Caenorhabditis elegans: one gene and its partner. The protein of the gene in region 1 purifies or fractionates together with the protein of each later gene. This does not show direct contact. Each region holds a gene or a part of one and is shown in the gene's direction. Other genes may lie near its edges.

The links. Proteins that work in one complex are often made in the same cells at the same time.
Region 2: the proteins of Y27F2A.10 (region 1) and gtnt-37 fractionate together in Caenorhabditis elegans (co-fractionation; one large-scale study listed by BioGRID). This does not show direct contact.

What each region holds. Positions count from the first base shown.
Region 1 is NC_003280.10:3,169,530-3,175,377, reverse strand, and holds Y27F2A.10 (G_PROTEIN_RECEP_F1_2 domain-containing protein), read left to right. Parts: upstream 1-3,101; coding exon 3,102-3,669; intron 3,670-3,713; coding exon 3,714-3,910; downstream 3,911-5,848. Other genes in the region: fbxc-55 (F-box C protein), read left to right, coding at 4,501-4,568, 5,239-5,848.
Region 2 is NC_003282.8:14,163,439-14,170,825, forward strand, and holds gtnt-37 (Glycosyltransferase family 92 protein), read left to right. Parts: upstream 1-2,337; 5' UTR 2,338-2,357; coding exon 2,358-2,439; intron 2,440-2,483; coding exon 2,484-2,626; intron 2,627-2,679; coding exon 2,680-2,962; intron 2,963-3,159; exon of another isoform or gene 3,160-3,180; intron 3,181-3,243; coding exon 3,244-3,341; intron 3,342-3,385; coding exon 3,386-3,459; intron 3,460-3,468; exon of another isoform or gene 3,469-3,489; intron 3,490-3,507; coding exon 3,508-3,586; intron 3,587-3,629; coding exon 3,630-3,914; intron 3,915-4,033; exon of another isoform or gene 4,034-4,054; intron 4,055-4,224; exon of another isoform or gene 4,225-4,245; intron 4,246-4,289; exon of another isoform or gene 4,290-4,311; intron 4,312-4,576; coding exon 4,577-4,662; intron 4,663-4,712; coding exon 4,713-4,965; 3' UTR 4,966-5,031; downstream 5,032-7,387.

The sequences.
Region 1 (5,848 bases):
GATTCGATTGAGGCAAAAACTTCCAATCAAATATTCGGCAATTCAACTCTGCTTTTTCCATGGCTTCAATGGGTGCCCATCTCGATATTCCAAAAGGACATGGTCCATATTGCTACCGCATCCACGGCCAAGTGTATCACTTAGCAGGGCCTCTTCATCCAGAACCTGGAGGAAGACCATCATACGGCCAAATTTATATTCTGGACACAGCTCAAGCTATCGAAGAAAGATTAGGAAATCCTGCAAATTCAAAATGTGATCCGCAGTTGATGGCAGAGCTCACGAAACTCATTTCGACTAGGAACCCATACGCTAAAGCTTATAAAATGATGGCAGAGGTGGAAGAGAAAGAAAACACCGATGCTCTGAAAGAAGGAAGAGTTGCCGAGGAGGTTCGACTAATCTTCGACATTTCAACTACTAAAGATCGTCGTTGTTACAATGTCCCCGTATCAAATGAAGTGGCAGTTGTATTTGTCGGAGAAGATCAGGATATTCCAGCTTCAAGATCTCTAGCTATTCATCCAAGAGGAGGAGGTCTCACTGCAATTCGTGATATTGATAAGATATGTGATCCATTGACATATCCATAAGGTCATAAGATGGATAACAGATTCATCGTTCCGTATAACTCTTACTTTCTGCTTCGGTACAATGCTCACATCAACGTCGAAATTTGTGCTTTCATTGAAGCTGTGAAGTACTTATTTAAGTACGTGTACAAGGGACATGATCGTGCTGCTCTAAACATCATTCGGAGTAGACTGAAAGAAGGAATCGTTGATGAGATTAAAGCCCACCTTGATGCTCGATACGTGTGTGCTCCGGAGGCCATCCACCATCTCTTCGGATTTAAGATTGAGAGAAAGTCTGACACGGTATATCGACTAGCTGTCCATCTTCCGGGTTTTCAAGTTGTGGTATTTCCTTCAAATGTAACAAAGGATCAGTTGCAGTCTACGCCTGAAAAAGATACAACTCTGACAGCTTGGTTCAAAATTAACAAAATTAGCGAAGAAACAGTGCAGAGTGGTTCCATGTCCGATTCATTTGTCGACGAATTGCATTACATTGACATGCCATCTTAATTCACATTCGATCAAAAAGAGCGCTGCTGGAAAACCCGAAAGCGTGGAATCCGACAAATTGGCAGAATGTACACAGTTGCTCCCAGTGAAACTGAACGTTATGTTCTTCGCATTCTTCTACTAAACACAAAAGGAGCTACTTCTTTTGAGGATATTCGAACTGTCATAGATGATGATGGAGTGCCTGTAGTTTACCCCACTTTCGTTGAAGCAGCTAAGGCACGTGGACTGCTGAAGGATGATAGTGAATATTTAAAATCGCTGAAAGAGTGGATTGGATGCTCGGTTCCTGCTGCCCTACGATCTTTGTTCAGTTCTATTCTACTCTTCAATGAGGTTCACGAGCCTCAGGTATTGTGGGATACCGTAAAACGCGATCTCAGTGAGGATTATCGTCACGCAGGAGCCAGAGATGATGAAGCTGAAGCTTTGGCCTATTTTGATATTTCCAGTCGACTTCACAGGTAGCTATCATCTCTAAACTTATATTTATAGTGGAAATATATGTTTTCAGAGGAGGCAAAGCTTTCAATGATTACGTTCCTGAGCCTTCAATGCATCCGACTGACATCTATCTAAATACAAGCGATCCATCCCAATGTGCAGCAGAGGGCGTTCGACTATTTCAAACCCTCAACTCGGACCAGAAATACGTCTTCGAGCGTATCGTGGGAGCGCTACACGACCCTACTTTACCCCGTCTCTTCTTTTTGGATGGTCCCGGAGGAAGTGGTAAAACATATCTGTACATTGCATTGTACAATATGATAATTGGAGAAAATAAAATGGTAACTATCAACTAATTCATTTTTATTCCTAACATGTTTTTATTCCAGGCGGCTTGCACAGCATGGACTGGAATCGCGGCACATTTACTTCCAGGAGGTCGAACTATGGTGTCTCTTCTCAAATTGAACATTCATGATCGATGTGAGTCGTCGCTTCACCGAAGGCAATTGAAAGATGCCAGAGAACTTGCTAATACCGATGTGTTCATTTGTGACGAGGCTTCGATGATTCCAAAAACAGCTCTCAACACGTTTGATTCTCTTCTTCGGGATATCACTCAAGTCGATCAACCATTTGGAGGAAAAATAGTCATTTTGGGCGGAGATTTCCGACAAATCCTTCCCATTGTCGAAAAAGGGTCGAGAGCTGATCAAGTCGATGCCTGTATCAAGAGTTCGCCTCTGTGGAATCAGTTTGAGACTCTACGCCTCCACTCAAACATGAGAGTTACCACAAACGACACGGAATGGATGAACTTTCTTCTCGGTGTTGGCGATGGTTCCCTAAATGATTCTGAATCGAAAGTTCAAATCCCTTTTTCTTTATGTGATGGAAATATTGTCGAGAAAGTTTTTGGAGATGTAATCGACCCATCAACTTCTGATCCCTGCGAAAATGTGATTCTTACTCCAAAAAACGTTGATGTCACCCTTCTCAACGAAGATGTTCATTCCAGAGGGATAGGAGAAGAAAGAATCTATTTATCAAGAGATGAAATTGTAACAGATGATCCAGCAGATCACATGCACTACCCAACAGAATTTCTGAACAAGATGACCCCTTCGACTCTCCCCCCACATGTGCTGAAACTGAAAAAGGGATCGGTGGTTATGCTGCTCAGAAACCTTGATGTATCGGGAGGTCTCTGCAATGGATCTCGCTTTGTGGTGGAATCCTTAGGACGACGAACAATTGGATGCCGATTTGCATGTGGCGAAAGAAAAGGAAAATTTGTAATCATCCCTCGAATCGAATGTTATCATGATAAGAATTTGTCTTTCAAACTGAAACGAACTCAATTCCCTGTTCGAGCCCCTGACGGCCGAATCACAAATATTGTTTTTACCGAAATTCTTTAAACGAATGTTTTAGAAACCTTGATTTGATTTAATAAAAATTATTTAAAAAAAATTTTTTTCAAAATTTTTCACTTCCTTATTTTTAAAATAAAATTTCAAACGACCAGTCGCGGCCGCGCCGGAGGCGCGGTCAGCGGCTGGTTGTATGTATAATAAATCACTTTGCACTGAACTGTCGAAATTGCAGACAATGATTATAGCTTCTTCATTTGTTCAAATAGAATGTCTGACTATTTGCTTTGTAGCTAAACATCAAATCTTCGCAAAATTACTCAATCGGCACATAGTATCAAGAATCAGTTACTACTTTGGAGCAGCTGGTTTTACATGTGTCCCAATAATAGTTGTTATCGCTATCAGCCAAGCTAATGTTTACCAGGAGTATCAGCATATTGAAACCTGCTACCCAGAGTACCTTGCTAGATTTAAAAATCTTAGTGACTTCGCAATCTACACGTTCAACGAATGGTGCTATTTTCTCGCAGTTTTGGCTTGCATGGAAGCACTATTCTGCGTTACTGTAGCTGTCATTACAACATGGGATATGTTCAAGATGTTAAAAGCCCTACAGCTAAGAGTCTCTAAAATACAGCTCCAGCGTTACAAATCTGCAATTATCAGTCTTGTATCCCAGATGGCAGCTTCATTATTGCTATTGGTTGCCTTCGTCTGCTTACTAGCCACCGTACTGACAAATTTTAGCGCTAATCAAGGTTTGTATCACTTATACATGATCTCTAAATCTTGCTAATTTCAGCAATCGCGGAGCTTGCCCTATTAATTGGTGCTCAACACTCGATAGTCAATGTAATAGTGCTCATCACCACTACTCCGCCATACCGAGATCATGTATCTGGGTACTTCATGAAACTATTAAAGCCCAAGTTAGTTGGTCCTGCGGCAGTGGGAATGCTGAGTGAAGCATCTCGAAATCCGATTTTGATCAAGTTATAGTGTTTTTCTGGTAAAGCGGGAATGCTGAAAATTGGCTCAAAATTGTATAGACCGTTGTGTGGCTAGGACACGGAGGTCCATCCTGGGTTGAAGGATCCGACAGGGGTGCGGCTCTCGACCGACCCCGGCTTAAAAAAAAGAGGCCTCACAAAAAGGGAAGCTGTACGAAAAACGGATTTGGCACTGTGCCAGGGTTTTTTTTTTAATTTTTGTGCTGGAAAACACGCCAAACAACGCGCGATGCGTAATTTCAGAGCATCGTTGTAACGTTTTCTTCGAGAAATGATGCGTTTTGTGTATTTGGCACAATGCCACTTCTTCCTTTTCGTAGATCATTGTTTGTGGGGCCTCAAAAACAAGTGCCGCCTTTTCAGCTGTCCGCTCCCGCTCCACCTGTGTATTCAAAGTTAATAAATTATGAAATCATATGTATTTCTGTATTTCTTGCTCACTACATAACATGAGAACCAGGAGCTGACCGCGATTGAAACAATGTCAACAGTTGACAAATATTTACCGAAAAAAAACGTTTTCCGATAGATGAGTCAATAGTGTGTGGTAAGTTAGCAACCTTGGAAGAATTGCAAAAAATGACGACGAAACAACTTTCCTACCAATGCCAGATATCTGTAATTCATCACCTTGAGCCAAATTTGAGGTAGGTCGTTTTTTTTCCAATATGCAAATTTGCCGAAATTGCTGAGCTCGGTAAATTTGCCAAATTTGCCGTTTGCCGAGCACGTAAAAAATGTGGACTTATCGATTTTGCCGAGCTCGGCTAATTTTGAAAATTTTTTTTTCATTGATTTTGGCATTTTTTGAGCTCCAAAAAATGAAAAATATTGCAATTTACCGAGTATGACGACCACGGCAAATTTGCCAATTTCGCCGATCTCGGCAAATTTCAAAATTTGCCGCACACATCAAAAATTTGACATAACAATTTTTACCAAAACTAGTGATTTTGACTCCAAAAATTTGGTAAAAGGACACAAAATTTAATTATTTTTATGTTTAAGCAGACACACTACACCGAACTTATTCAGAAACCATATGTGTGTTAACAATTCAGTAGTTTTGGTGCTCCAAAACACAATAAAAACACCAAATTTTTCGGAGTTACGGCAAATTTGCCGAATTGGCCGAATTTGCTGAGCTCGGCAAATTTGCCAAAATTGCCGAGCTCGGCAAGTATTAAAGAAGTTGGTTTGCCGATTTTGCCGAGCTCGGCAAATTTCGAAATTTGCCGCACAATCCTTGTACGGATGTTGTTTTGCCATGTTGATGCACCATGCTCCACCCAATTCAAGAACTCTCAAAATTTGCAGACTATCCCTTTCCCGCCGATGTCCATCACTCAAGCTCGCGGAGCAGTCCACCGGCCTATACCTCACCTACCTGCAAATCGACCAAAACTCTATTCAAATCAACCATATCTTGTATCGACTAAGCGTTATCAGAAGCAATGGAGATGGTGGCCGCCCGTATGATGTAGATGAGTATGGATATCAGGATTATGCCTTAAATGTTCATGAAGATCCCAATGAGATTTTGATAGATAATAGGATGCCTGGTGGAAGCAACAAAAGTCTGAACGAATTGCTGCGTGATGTTGGAAGAATCCTTGATGAACGTCGGCTTTATCAGGAGCTGAGGCGCCGAGTTCTGAGGGACGGGCTTCGCAGTGACAATTTTATTCAACTGGTGACAGGAAAAAATGTTGAGCAAGTGACATATGCGAAGAAGCTTCACGAAGCTTTGAAATATCTACTTGAAACATTTCTAAGCGGTAGGAAAACCCCCATTGTGGTACGGAAGCTATCCATTGGAGCCGTTGGAATACTAAGAATCCCCTCAGATATTAGATTGACAGTTCCGGACATGGAACTTTTTTATGGATATGAAAACCCTTATACGATTTGGCGATTGATCGACCCA
Region 2 (7,387 bases), on another chromosome or scaffold:
GACTTAGGCCTAGGCTTAGGCTTAGGCTTATGCCTAGGCTCAGGCATGACCTCAGGAATAGAGGAAAATGTAAAATGCAAGCTTAAACACTGCGAAAACATATTGATTGTCAACAGCGTCTATTTACTTTAACAGATAACAATTAAATTAACTCATTCCATTGTTGGTGTGAAAAACTCATGAAAGACCATATTACGTTGAATGTGTTGAGTTATTAACATTAACATGCTTTTTGGTAGCACTGGCTCAAAATTAAAATTTATATGCACCGAACAAATTTAAGAGAAAACTATTGCGTGCCAAAAAAAACTTCTGTTTCGAGTTCTCTACTTATGATGTTTGAATTAGAGATGGTCGATAAAACAGAGTTTTCAATGTTTTTAAATTCCTGGGTATTTTTAACGTATAGATCCAAAATAAAACTCCGAATAGTTACAATAATTTCACCTGAATTCTCGAATTTCGCCCACTTTTCCGTGTTGCAAATTGTTGAAATTGACTTTTCTGAGTTTATCGAGTTATATTTTATTGCATATTTTGGTAATTTATCTCATATTATTTCATTAATTGAGATACATTGTAAAGCTTATAGGTAAAAAATTTCCATGATTTTTGGTTACCTATCGGCCGAAACATTATTTTAATCTACGTAATAATATTAGATAAACAGTCAAAATATAAAATATAGGATGTTATGTGATTCAATTAAAAGTCGCGTTCAACCAGCTGTGACAAGGAAAATTTAGCGAAATTCGAGATTTTAGCGAAAATTAGCGCAGTTTCTTCAAAAATTTTGAACCGCCATAAAAAATTTTGCTGAACAAATGTTTATCAACATCTACAAATTTAATTCAGTCTCTGCGTTTTCTTTTTTTTACTGTTTCAGTCGTGTAATAACAACTGAGAAGTCTCTTCAATATTCTTTGATTGCATTCCAAAATTATTTTAAAGATTTTAAAAACCTACCATTTCAACTAATGCTTAACCAACTTTACAGAGAACAAGAGTAATTTTGATTTTGGGCTGATAACACATGCAGTTTTATTTTCCGTGCTAAATGTACATTGATTGGCTTTACAAGATCAACAGTATTACTGTGCCGCATTGAAAAAAAAACAACTTAATTCAACCATTACCTGTGAAAACTCTCAAGTTGAGCAATTTTTATTAGTACCAACAAATTCCCACTTTCCGTTTTTTTGCTGTTTCAGCCTAGTAATAACAGTTCGATGTGCTAATTTCGTCGATGCAGCAGTCCAAATAGGTTTATTTCTTTATCCCCTATGATTAGTGACGATATTTTTTTCCTGGTTTTTGTTTATTATACTCTTATTTGTTGGTAAAATACAAAAAGGTCTTCAAGTTTTTTCTTCGCTTAACCCGTTTCAGATTCCTTATTTACCAAGTGACTTCACTACTTATTAATTGAGCACGTTCTTGGTAATATTTATTTCGAAAAAAACACTGACGTTTTCTAATGTCAATATTACAATTTAAAGTTTATTTAGTCTGAATCTGAAACGTTTCAATTGCATTTTTAAGTTCATTCTGAACAATACCTAAAGGATCCGCCAAGATAGCCGGTCTTCAACATCCAGTCATAAAAGAGAAATTAAGCTTAATTTATGTCCAAATAACATGATCTCGAACATAATTTTCAGTTTGAACAGTTGCGATGTCAAAGAAATAAATTAATAATTTAGACAATTGTGTCTGGGAATAATGATATACATATATCTAATTTAGATCTTATATTATACACATTAAACTAACCATATTTGAAAATAAACTCAATTTCGTGTCGACAGTACTGTTAATTAGAGTATGTGGTAATTAATTTTATCAATGAAAAAACTCCGACCTGGCCATTAAACAAAAACTAAACCGACTAAACCAGTAACTCTAAAAATTATTTCCGGGTTTATGGTAATACTGTAAAAGTATTGTATAATTTCATGTCGGTAGTTGTAGTTATGTATAGGATGTTTGGGGTCATGGAGAAACCGAAAAAATTAATTAAAGGCGGAAAGGGAAATTTTACGGATCTCTAAAGGAGAAAGTTAAACGATTTTTCTGAAGGTTGATCATTGTCTTCAGTTTTCTTACTCCGATTTTATTTAATTTTTGAAGTGGTTAGCTGTAGAAACCATTTATTAAATTCCTTGTTTTGTACAATATTTTTGGAAAAAAGATTTATAAAAAATTAATAAAAAGTTCGGGAAAGTGTGACGATACCATCAAAGTATGAAGAACGGGTTAGCCAGATACATATCTTCAAGTCAATCAAGCATTCCCTCAGATGAAGATAAAAGTGAGGGTGAACCGATGCGGCTTTTCATTTTAGTTTTTAACCTGAAATGGGTAAGCGGCTTATTTTTATTTTTGCTTTTCTTGTGGTATTAGCGTTCCTTGGATGTTTCATTTTACATGGTGGCCTTGGTAAATTAAAAATTACTACTCCAAAATATTTTATTAAATTTCAGATTTTTCAAAATCTAGTAGTTATTCTTCAAATCAACAATGTACAATTGAAACTTGGAATTGGGTTCATACAGAATCCATATCATCTTCCTACGTGAAAACCTTCTCTAAATGGCTGTGGAAGAAGCTTGAATTGACAGCTGAGGTAGGTCTTTTAGCTTTTCCTCTAGAAAACAAAAACTGTTTCAAAATTTCAAGAATATCCACAACAACACTGAAGTCTCAATTCTGGCCGCATACGTCTACCCTGAAACCATTGCAATATCTCTTATCACTCAACACATGTTGAATCAGAAGATGTATTGTAGATACTACGATTGTGAACGGAATGAGATTCCAGGAAGTGCTTGGCGGGGTGTAGTATTTCCAGAATCTGTTATAGAGTGTCCCAGAAGAATTGGAGCAGTTTATGTGTCTGTTTCAAGAGAGATGGAAGAAGTAGCTCCAACTCCAGTTAGACTCAAATTTAGAGCATATAAAGGTAAGAGTATAAGACGGAGAAAAGTTAGAAAACAGTTTGAATAGAACCCGGACCCCAAATTTTGAATATAATTTTGCATTTTTTTTGAATTTCCACTAGCGCATTTCCTGCAATTGAGCGGCTTTAAAATGTTTTTTTTTGTGGTTTAAATTTGAGGGTTTGTGAGATTTTCAGCCGGAAAGTCTTTGTACGAAAAAGTTGCAAAAGGAACTTCCCAATTAATCAAACATATTGTGAACCGTTTTAAAATAACATCATGAAACAGTAAAATTTTTCTCCAGAGCCAGTTCATCAACTATCAGTATGCATGGCCCCCACTTACGGAAATGGATCTCATTGGCTTCCAATTGTTGATTTTGTAGAACATAACAAGCTAGAGGCATTGCTGAAATTTTACAATTTCCCAAATTTTTTTTTTATCAGGGTGCCACGTTCTTTTTCTTTTATGCCGGTCAAATTCGAAAGTATGACGAGAAAATTTTGAATGAATATGTTAGGTATGTGGAGATAACTCAGAGAACAGCAAATTGTAGTGTTGTTTTCAGAACTGGTGATATGGAATTAGTGAAACTGCAGGATAAATATCAACGTGTGTTCATTTCATGGCAGTTTTTGGAGGTTCAGGTAGGGAGACTTCACAAGATAAAATAATAGATTTTAATAACAGGACTGTCACCTTCGAAGCAAATATTTTTCAAAATGGACAGCCGTAATAGATTTGGATGAGAGAATGACAACATTTGGACAGAGAATGATTGATCTTCTACGATCAATTCAAGATCCTTCTATCGGAGTTCTTGATGTACCACATGTGCATGTGATTCAAAATGATGATTTTCCCGCGAAGTTTGAAAATCGAACACAACTGGAGAAAGAACTGATATTCAAAAAATACAATAAAACAACGAGCAATCAGATTACAGGTTCTAAGTTCATCATAAGACCAGATAAGGTATATTTTCAAGGGTCAAACTTTTTTGTTCACGAAGGAAAAAAATATATTCAAACCAGTGGTTGGCAAGACCATTTCGCATGTATGCGTCTCCTCCCTTTAAAGTCATAGAAGTAAAAAAATATAGTTGTGGTGAAAAACTGTGGTGAAGTTTTTATTTTGGTATTTACTACATGCGTGAAACAGTTGAATTTTTTAACAAAAAAAAACTAATTTCTGTAAGTGAAATAGCCAAAAAGACATTGGTTGTCTAGTAACAAGATAAATATTAGCAAATCACTGTTTGTTATTGTAAAAATATTTTATTTTCTGAAAATTGTGTCTTATGCGAACAAAAAATATAAAAGTAGGTTCTTAGAATTAAAATTATTGAAACATGATATTAACACTCAAGAAACATCATTTTCAAAAACGGCCTATATTTCTAAAGTATGTCAAACAGTGGAAATTATTTAAGTTAAATTTTAACAAAGTTAAATGAACGAAATATGAAAAGTAGTCAGTTTAAATTTGAATATTCGAATTTTCACCCAGTTTTTCTGGAAAAAATTGTGCTAAAACAACTTTTTTCAAAACAAAAATTTTGCTAACAGTTTATACGTGTCATCTTCAATGTATAACATTTGCTTCGGAATTCATGTGGATCTTTAACTTGTTTTCAGATTGGTGTAATGTTAATCCACGAGATAGTTGGTATGTGGCCAGGAATCAAATTGCAAAAGTTGGATAAAGCTCAAGCAGTTCTCAGGTTAGTTTCCTATTCAGAATACTGGTTTTAACCAAGTTGAAATTATTCAGACACTACCGCAGCACCAAAAACCGGATGTATCAACCGAATTGGAACGAAATTCCAGATAAATTTGGCGTAATGCCAATTTTCAAAAGCGTGCCACTTCCAGAACAATTTTCCAAAGATTTGGAAGAAGCAGTTGTCCAAAGAGTTCTGCGAGTGTATGATTCAGTTCCCGTGAATTGTTCCAGCATACCAAAACAATTAGCTAATTCTCTAAAATATCCAGATCCGTGTAAAGAACCATGGGTTGCGTTTTGACAATATTGATCTCATTTACTAAAAAAGCTTTAATGAAAATTTGAAATAATGAAGAAATTAAATAAAAGTGTTGAAACAGAAACAGATTTTTTTGATAAAATTGAAACTCGGTTGAGGAAAAAATATATCATCCTCGTTGACCAGAATTGTCAGAAAAATAAGCAAAACGGCTAAATTATGAATTTTGAATAAATGTTGTGGGTTCCGGAAAAGGATGAAACCTAAAACTACTGAAAGTTTTAAAATTATGCGCTTCAAAAAGTACTTCGAAGTCGTTCTCTTTTTTCCTCTTTTACACTACACTTTTTGTAAAAAATGCTATCAAATGCTTTGATATTATTTCCTTTTTTTACATCTTTAACATTTCAATGAAACATGAATTTTTTTTTTGAAAACTTGATCTTCAAACTCAATTTCCATAACAATAATCATGTTTTGTTGCTATTTTTTCTTTATACAAAACGCTCAAAAACTGCCAAATTCAGAAAACAACTAGAGCCTAATGTTCATTTTATCTTTTCTTATTTTCTGCCGTTTCAACATTGTGATAACTGTTCCACCGGTAAGTATCATTGATGGCTTGTATGATACACAATTTTCTATTAGGCTTGTTCTGCTGGAGTCAGATGTCCACCGGGAGGGCTGTGGGGTGAATGGGTGACAACTGGAAGTGACAAGTGTAGTATGGATTGTGGTGGATGTGGAAAGCTGTTTCAAATACGGACATGTTTGAGCTCGGAGCTGGGGAATTGTGCATGCTCGTGAGTTACAATCAAGGCTGGATACTTTTTTTTCTAAAAAAAATATATAAATTGCTTATAATGTTTCTATAAACTATTAAACATTGTATTAACTGATATACTGGTTGTATGATCGATTTTTCCTTTTTTCCCAAATTCAAAATTTCCAGAGGCGCTCCGTCCCGTTACATCCCATGTAACCTATCGGCTTGCAAGTACCCCGCTCAAAAAACCTGCTGTCCACCGTATGTTCCAATGGTTTTGAATAGCACTTTTATGTGTGGACCATTACCAAAATCTATGAGAGAAGAAACGACAAATTGTTGTCCTGCTGGAGGACTTTGGTCGGATTATACAGGATATCAGAGGATCAATGGACAATGGACTAGGACTAGAAAATGTTTGTCTGATAAGGCGGGATGTCCGTGTAGCGGCGATGTTACTGATGCTTCAGCTCGTTAGATTTTAAATTATTTATGCTCGATGAGTTTTCGAGATTGATCGTTTCAATATGAAAACCCATTTGAAAATATCTTGAAACAGTCAATTTTTCAAAAATGTTCTGATGGAATTAATATGAGTACAATATGAGAATATGAATATGAGTACGCATAGTTATCAACTTTTAAAATTTTATAGTTTGATGGTATAATTTTGAAAAATAGTGATATCGAGTTTGGATTGAACATTATCATTAAAGTTGATTATATAGACGAAATAAAAAAAGGATTTGTAATGCTTGGTATACGAGATTGATCGAGATTGATCGGTTCAACATGAAATTACATTTGAAAAAATTTTGAAGCAGTGAATTTTTAAATAATAGGTTGACAACTTCTAACATTACAAAGTTTAATGATTTTAGATCTTTAATTCCGAAAAAGAAACAAATTGAACATTATTATTAAATTGAGATGATATAAACAAAATGAAAATGTATCAAGTTGGAATTATTTTAGTTCACGGTTATTTTTTTTCTGTTTCAATTGGAAGTTATATTCATGCACTGCTATTTTTCTGTAGTAATATTTCAGCTCACCCAGTTTGCTAACAACTTTTGAAACTCCCAACTTAAAATTCCAGAATGCCCATGCTCTCAGCCATCAGACGCTACAAGTATCTGTACATCAGTTCCAAGTGCTCAACCATCCCGATTCCAAGCGTTAACTATTGATCATGCTACATGTACGGCAAAGTTTGATATGGTTGGAATTAATTCGGGCGGTATTCGGTACTGTCAGAGACTTGGTGAGTAGAAAGTGTATCTGGAAGGAGTTTTGTGAAACATTTTTAATAGCAACGAGGAACTAAACATAACTGTGTTGAAGTTATAAAAAACAAACATTGAAACAGTGATCATTTTATTATTAAAGGTTAAGTTTTTTTAAAATTTTGTTAAAAAATTTAAAAACTTCAAAAAATGCTAGTTTAGAAAAAAGAAGGCAATTTGCCAACCACAAAAATTAATTTTTCAGACACCTACTATCGTCCTTATGTATTCGTAGCACTTCTTCTCATGAAAGAAGTTTCTGGTGAATGTACAATCGATTATGTATTTGATTGTATGAATCAAGAACGACCGGATTCCCATATGGATGCAACTTTTTCATGTGATACTGCTACGGGAAATTGGATTTATGATTTCACTGGAAAACAAATAACTTCTTATGTTCAAGGTGTTT